Sus scrofa: one gene and its partner. The main gene of each other region encodes a partner of the protein of the gene in region 2 in a complex. Links are inferred from orthologs where the notes say so. Each region holds a gene or a part of one and is shown on either strand. Other genes may lie near its edges.

Evidence for each region.
Region 1: the proteins of PHF2 (region 2) and VRK1 are in contact, whole or in part, in a crystal structure (PDB 8F8Y), measured with the Homo sapiens proteins. The link is inferred for Sus scrofa from reciprocal best matches to the Homo sapiens genes PHF2 and VRK1. Residues at the interface, in NP_005383.3 of Homo sapiens: Tyr7, Tyr14, Val16, Thr17, Arg18, Phe19, Met20, Ile21, Glu22, Trp29, Glu39, Ala42, Ile45, Asp46, Tyr48, Lys64, Tyr145, Ser147, Glu150, Lys175, Val178, Asp179, Tyr182, Ser183, Thr184; in NP_003375.1 of Homo sapiens: Pro2, Arg3, Val4, Lys5, Ala6, Ala7, Gln8.

Annotation. Positions count from the first base shown.
Region 1 is NC_010449.5:117,941,643-117,945,551, reverse strand, and holds the start of VRK1 (serine/threonine-protein kinase VRK1), read right to left. Parts: upstream 2,589-3,909; 5' UTR 2,503-2,588; intron 1-2,502. UniProt on the Homo sapiens protein: Serine/threonine kinase involved in the regulation of key cellular processes including the cell cycle, nuclear condensation, transcription regulation, and DNA damage response.
Region 2 is NC_010445.4:43,054,404-43,058,212, forward strand, and holds part of PHF2 (lysine-specific demethylase PHF2), read left to right. Parts: intron 1-332; coding exon 333-474; intron 475-1,553; coding exon 1,554-1,740; intron 1,741-2,790; coding exon 2,791-2,953; intron 2,954-3,809. UniProt on the Homo sapiens protein: Lysine demethylase that demethylates both histones and non-histone proteins. Enzymatically inactive by itself, and becomes active following phosphorylation by PKA: forms a complex with ARID5B and mediates demethylation of methylated ARID5B.

The DNA of each region.
Region 1 (3,909 bases), on a different chromosome or scaffold from region 2:
CTAAAAATTCCATGTTATCACTAAGAGTGTAGTTTTTCAAATGTGCCAGACACAGTTGACTACTTGTGTGCTGGGTGCTAAGTAGCCAAAGCCGACAAGAAATGACCTCTATCAGTGTAAAAGAAATCTTGCTTCAACAAAACACTACAATGGCAAGAACAGACTCTGCACCCAGCACGGTTCCCGACATAGACATCTGGTGATTATGTGAGTCCACTGCTGCTCCCTCTGAAAAATAACCCAGACAAGCTTGCAAAATATCCTACCAGTCTGAAATATATTCTCCAGTCCTATCCAGTTACCCTTCCATTCTCACAACCCATCAAGACCAATTTCCACGAAAGCCTCAGCACCGCACACAAAGAGGCAGCACTCAACTTCCCTTGGGTTCCTGTCCGCTACATGGAGATATCGGCATGTGCACTGTTCGCGTAAATCTAGGAACCATCCTTCCTCACTTGTTATATATAAGGTAAATGTTTAAGCTCTGCCCCATTTCCAGTAAGTTCTATTTATCAAATCAAAAATACTTTCAAAGTTCTACTTTTTAAATCAAAATTCTTCTTATAGCACATCATAACTTACTAGGGAAGGCTTTAAGGAAAAACATACATACAGCTGTCCAAGAAAAATCTTTTTTCTTTCCTAGACATCTGGGACTTTCACTTACCTATTTACTATTATTTCACATTAGTTCTCAATTTAAAAAAAAAAGCTGGCCTATTTAAGAAAGTTAATTTTAGGGTCTGTCAACATTTTGAATGCATGACTGTTATTTGTAAAATATACATTTGCATCCTGGAATAAGACTCGGCATAAGCTTTCCATATAACCATTTCCTGGGCACTTACGAACTTACTGTATGTCAGGTTCTGTGCTTGACACATTTCTCCGCTTTCTCATTTGTTGACCAAATATCCTCTCACAATTTCTGCAACACTGAACATTAAGAAGCCCTTACACTCTAAATCTCATCTGTTGTAGATAGCAGCACTAAATGGACAGTAATGCTGAACACAAGTTACTGCCATCAAATTCAAGTTGTTACTGCATTAACCCAGAATCTGATCAGCAACGCTGAGATGCACAGAGAACAGCACCCACGGCGGCTTCGGCAGAGAAAGCCAGTGTTAAGTGACAACTTGCTATATCAGAGGATGACCTGACCTTAACTACCTGTAAATGTAATTCCAATTACTATATGCCATTTTGGACAGCACAGACATAACCTGAATAAGATGATTATACAAAAAACCCTTGCCTCCCTCTGAAACTACTTTAAAATTGTACATTAAATCCTCCCCAAAAGCATCACACTTCCAAAGTCATGAAAAGCAAGATGCCTTTATTCTGAACGCTTAAAAATAATGCTGCCATACATTTTCTTTTAATCTTGTAAATTACAGCTTAACGGATGGGCAATTCTAGTTGAAAAAAAAAAAGAAAAGAAAAAAATAATAATGAATGAGGCCCTTCAACAGTTTCTTAAAACCACCACCTTCCCAAGAGCAAAACTGGTATCTCCAAACTGTTTCAAGGAGAGATGGGGGAGGGAAAGGACGAGTCAATACATAGCAAGAAGAGAAGAAAAAAAAAAAAACGGGGGGAGGGGTGACTTGACAGAAAAGTTAAAAAATGAGTGGACTTAACTGAAACCTAGGGTCTACCACATTTCCCTCTCAACCCGGAAACCCTGGTGCGTTTGTCGAATTTAAATAAAGCACCTAAGAGTTTTGAGACCAGAGCCAAAAATTATTCCGACGGTAGGAAAAACTATCTGTCGCCCGCGAATACAGCAGCATCAGCAAAAGGTGCCACCCTGCAGCTACGAAGACGGGACAAAAAACAGCTGTCAGGGGCACGCGAAAATCCCTTGTAAAATTCCGCCACCGGAGCTCGAACGCCTTGAACCTGCCGCAAGGGCCGCTCTCACCGGGCCTCAGCCGGACCTTGACAGCTAAGAAAGGCGCCCAGGCCTGGAACGCCAGCCCCGGGCGAGCAGGCTCCTGCCCCTATCTCAGGTCTCCAGGCCAACGTCGCCTCCCGAGATGCCCTCCTCACCCCACCCCCGCCCATCACTCCCGCCCACAGACGCCTGTCCCCGTTTTCAGAGAGCTCTCGCTTCTGCAAATGGTCAGTTTGGCTTCTATTCTGCTTCCCCTGCAGAACGTGAGTTCCAAGACCGCGGAGGGACGCCGCTGATCCAATCTGGCCTACAGAAGCCATCTCCCAGACCCGGCCTGAGCGCCCAGGATGCCGTGCAAGTCTGACCCGCCTACACGCCGTTCAGAACCGGCAACGGAGCCTTGGGGACCCGCCCGGCCGGTGCAGGGAGCCCGGGGCCGCAGCGGGGCCTGAGGGAAACCCGGCGAGAGAGGACGCCGGCGCCTCCCGAGGTCCCGGCTGCCCTGCCGCCCCGCGCCGGCCCGGCCGCCGACAGCCTCTCCGCGGCCCCCGCTCGGCGCCGGCACTCTTGCTCAGCTCCGCGCGCGGCTACCCTACCCGGAACCGCAGACCGGTCGCCTTCTGCCCAGTACGAACTTCCCGCCGCTTTCGCCGACTTGCAACTCAGTTGAGGCGCCGGCCCCGTCACACTCCGCAGTATGGAGCCTTCTCATTGGCTCGGGTGAGCGGGAGAGGCGGGGCGAGTGGGAACGCGCGAGCGGGGCGGAGCCTATGCCGGCCTTCTCCGCCTCCGCGGGCATGGCGGGAGCCGCGGACCGGCGCACCCAGTGCATGCTGGGAAGTGTAGTGTTTTACGGGCAAAGCAAGATCTCGGTCCCTCTTGCCCCGTGGGCACCTGGGAAATGTGGTATAGCGCCTCTAAGTCCATCTTTCTGGTTGAATGCTGTACCTGGCAATGCCTTAAGAACTGAAATAAATATTGCCAGTATTCTCAGTAGCTTTTTTAACCAATATGTTGGTTAAAAAAAAAAAAAAATTCAACCTTAAGGTTACCGTAGGTGTACGGTTGGGCAGAGGGAAGAATTGGGAGTGTAAGTATCACACACATTCTGACAGTTTATTGTATACCGCAGGAATCACCTATATGGGGAAAAAAGAAAAGGTATATTTACATGTATGACTGATTCACTTTGCTATACACCTAACACAACATTGTAAGGCAACTATACTCTAATAAAATATTTTTAAAAATAAATGTCACAGAGAAGCAAATAAATAAATGTGTTGACAAAGAGTTGGACGTAAAAGCAGCCCTATGTTCCGGTTTGGCCCAGTTCCTCCTCTGCCTACTGGCGTTTGCGTTTTTCCACCTGAGGATCCACACACTGCAGGCTCCTCCCACAGCAGCCTGGCTCTGTATACCATGTTCTGGCTCTGGAAGCAAACAGCTTGCAGATCAAATCCTTGCTCTTCCACTCTGTATCTTTATAACCTAGATTACTTAACCTCTATGAGTCTCAGTTTCCTGTTTCTGTCAGGACTAAAGGAGATAGTCTCGAGACAGTCCTTTTTATGTAGTAGATGCTCAATAAAGAGTAGACAGTATAAATATAATTCTGTCCGCTCCTAGCCATGACTCTAAATTCCACCTGTCTGTCGAACCTATTTCAGTGCCTACCTAACCTTCTGTAGTATTCCATCTGTAATTCCCTTATGCCACAGTTTGCTTTATAATCAATTGTCTCAGCCTCCATCACCCATGAGACTGTGAGCTTATCTTGGACCAGGATACTGTTCTAGGTCAAAATCACCAAAGCCATAGGCAGAGGGAGCTTTACAGAGAAACTAGAGAAGCTTAAGCAAGGTCTCTTCCAAAGCCTTCTGTTAGAGGGAGTTTTAGAGGGAGGGGGGTGTTGTTTGCCAAGGTAAGGTACTTTTGTACGATTTTCTTAAAGTGGACCCCCCCCCAAATTGCATGACTTCAGTCCTCACAAAACCTGGAAT
Region 2 (3,809 bases):
TGTCCCACACATTATTTGGGGCATATTTATGCTAAAAACATCTTTGTTCATTGTTTATCTGAAGTTTAAGTTTACCTGGTGTCTTGTTTTTTTATTTGCTAATCTGGTCACCTTAGCTGAGTCTTGTGACTGTGCCCCTACCTGCCACTGCACCAGGAGGTCCTCAGGTGGGGGAGGGTCCGATGTTGGTGCCTAAAGCCTCAGCATTCAGCCTCCTCTCAGTGACTTTCTGAGGGCAAGTCAACATCTCCTCTGCATGTCTGGGCCTCCAACCTCCTGGGAGGCCAACCATCTTCCTTGGGTACACTCCCCCTCCCCCACTGCCTCCCCAGGTCCAGAGCGCAGTGTGGACGTGACGGATGTCACCAAGCAGAAGGACTGCAAGATGAAACTGAAGGAGTTCGTGGACTATTACTACAGCACCAACCGCAAGCGAGTTCTTAACCTTACCAACCTTGAGTTCTCTGACACCAGGTGAGTGGGGTCAGGGCATGAGGGATGGAGAGGGATATTGCTTTGAAATATGCTGGAGATTTTTTTTGTGTGTGGGGGGGTTCTTTTTAGGGCCACATCTGCAGCATATGCAAGTTCCCAAGCTAGGGGTCCAATCAGAGCTGTAGCTGCCAGCTTACACCACAGCCACAGCAACGCAGGATCCGAGATGCGTATGCAGTCTACACCACAGCTCATGGCAATGCTGGATCCTTAACCCACTGAGGCAAGGGATTGAACCCGTGTCCTCATGGATACTAGTTGGGTTCGTCACCGCTGAGCCACAACAGGAACTCCTATGCTGGAAATTTAAAGAGGAAGGCCCTGTGAGGCTGTTGAGGTCAGGGTGGCCTGGCCTATGATTTGTGACCATCTTGTTGGGGTAGGCACAGTCTTGGTTGGAGGACTGTGCCCGAGGCAGCAAGAACACTGAGACCCCAGTCTTGGCTTGAGTGAAATGTCACCTCATTGCACAGGTGCTGCTGAGCTGGATGTTTTGATGTATTGTGCATCCTGTCCAGAACGGTGACATTTAATCGAATCAAAGGCTGCCTTTGCCTTTTCATATCTTCCCTGGGGATAAGTTATGGGGTCTGACGTGGTCCCACAGCAAGGAGTTGCAGGCACCCTGTTGTGTGCTCTGGGGGACAGTGGCTTTTCCGTAGGTGATGCCAGGAAGCTCCTGGGCTGTGCATGAGCAAAGATGTTTACTCTTGGGGCCCATTGTGCCCAGTGGCACTAACATAAGCGCACCTGAAAAGCCTCTGCAATTCTCCAGGATGGAAGTTGTCCCTGGGGTAGACGATTCTCAGGCCTTCTCTGTGCCTGTCTTTGGATGGAGAGCCCAGTGTTAGATGCCTGCCATGGCCACGCCCAGCAGCTGGGCTCCTTCTGCCCTCTCTGAATCTCAGTTTGCTCATCTGTAGAATGGGAGCAGTGTCATGTAGCTGGAGGTGGAGAAATAGCTGTGGGACGTGCACCCAGAGCCCCTTTCCTGCCCTGCCCAGAATGTGGCGACACTTCTTGTCACTGCTGACTGCCCTTTCTGTCCCTGCCCCCAGAATGTCCAGCTTCGTGGAGCCACCTGACATAGTGAAGAAACTGTCCTGGGTAGAAAACTACTGGCCTGATGACGCATTGCTGGCCAAGCCCAAGGTGACCAAGTACTGCCTGATCTGTGTGAAGGACAGCTACACTGACTTCCACATTGACTCTGGGGGTGCCTCTGCCTGGTACCATGTGCTCAAGGTGAGTGCTGGCCTCTGCTCCCCACATGGGTCCTGCACGGGCCTCAGGGGCACCACCTGCTTTCGCCCAGGCATTGTCAGACTGCAGGACCACGGTAGTCCTTGCAGGCCCTACCAGTGGCCAGCATCGGGTGGAATGAGAGACAAGATGTTTCTCCATAGAAGTGACACAGATGTTGGGCCCTCGAGGGGCATGGGGGTTGGGGGAGCAGCCCACTGGAGTGGTGACCAAGTGCTCCTGTCCAAGGAAAGGAGAGTAGTGCTGGGAGGACTTCCTGGAAGAGGGGAGGATGAGGAGTTATGCTCCATTGGGAGGCTGGGGGTGGGCCGGGGCCCAGGGAGCAAAGTGCAGTGGCATCTGAGTGGCAGAGAGAGCTGGGGGGCTGCTGGCTGGGGACAGATGGGGATGCTGGGGGAAAAGGGAGTTGTGAAGACCAACAGAAAGGGAGTCCCTAAGCCTTGGACACACCACCCGGCCCCAAGTCTCCCCAGACCTGCTGGAGCCCAGGATAGGGTGGGCAGCGCAGCTTCTGATGTTGGCTCTTTGAGGCCCTGAGCAAGTTCTGCCCCCCCGAGCACCCCTGCCCTCAGCCCGTCTGCCCCAAGTGAGGACATTTCCACCTCCCTAGTCCAAGTGCAGGGCTGGGCTGGGGCTGGCAGCCAGGCCCTCCTTTCGTCTCCAGATGGGACCCAAGCCTCCCCCAGAGCAGAACTTCCCTGTAACTCATCAGACAGCAGGTCACAACTTTGTTTCCCTTGGCACGGACGGCATCCATGGTGCTGTGGAGATGTGTGCGGAGTGGCGGGGGTTGCCCAGAACATGCTAGAGGCTCCTATGCCTGGAATCTTCCTAACACGCAGACTTCTGAATTGCAAAGCACGCGTGGCCCCAATTTCAGGGCCTGGGCAGGATGGTGTTGAAGCCAGGACCCATCCCCAGGACACAGTAGGCTCTGTCCCCCACCTCAGCATCCCCAGGACATGGTGGGCTCTGCCCACCCCCAGCATCTCCAGCATATGACAGGCTCTGCCAATGGCCTCTTGTTGGCAGGGGGAGAAGATCTTCTATCTCATCAAGCCAGCTTCGGCCAACATCTCCCTGTACGAGCGCTGGCAGTCAGCCTCAAACCACAGCGAAATGTTCTTTGCCGACCAGGTGGACAAGTGCTACAAATGCACCCTCAAGCAGGGCCAGACACTCTTCATCCCCTCAGGTAAGTGCCTTGTCCCTGTGTTGCGCCCCCACTGCTGATGACTGCCAGGGGAGGTCACATCCTGGCTGTCTGCTTCCTTTCCTTGGGGCCTGCTCTGTGGGCCCAGTTGTGCTCAGGGAGGCCAGGTGCATGGAATCGCATGGGGCCCCAAGAGCCCATCTCTGAGAGCCTTGCCATGCTGTAGAGCTGGTGTTTGCTCATCTCCATGTTTTAAGCATAAGCAAGAGGAGGAACCATGATGTGAGCAGATAAAGGCCCTTTATAGATGTCATGTTACTTCACCCCTAAATATGTCCCTATGTAAGGTTTCCTTTTAAAAATAATGTAATTACACCGTCATCACACTTTAGGGGTGAAGGGTTAAGAGTCCCTTGGGTGTCGCCCAGTGGGTAGTCAATCAGATTTTCTCACTGCTGTGTAAGGAGGCCCCCACATCTCCATTGATTGATGTGCCTCAGCGTCCCTCCTGCTCTAGCCCCACCCTCCTTCCTACAGTCACAGTTATTTCCCCAAGTCTGGTCCAGGTTCCATCTCTGAGGATGCTGTAGAGACAAACTGAACTCTCCCAGGAGGTGTGGCAGCCCTGCCTGCCTCTCTCCGGCCCCGCAGGTGGAGATCAGGCCTGCTGGCAGCCATACCTTGGGGTGGGTCTGAGTAGGTCCCCTTGACTCCTGGGCCTCAGCTTCCCTGTCCGAACCATGCCGGGCTGGAGTGGACAGACCGGGCCAGCTCCGACACAGTCTTTCCTTCTGGGAGGGCCACCCATTCATGACAGGGCCAGAGCACCTTCCAGGATGGGTAGGGGCATGGCGAATGGCTCAAGCCAGACCAGGTAGCTGCCAGGAGCCTGGCGTGA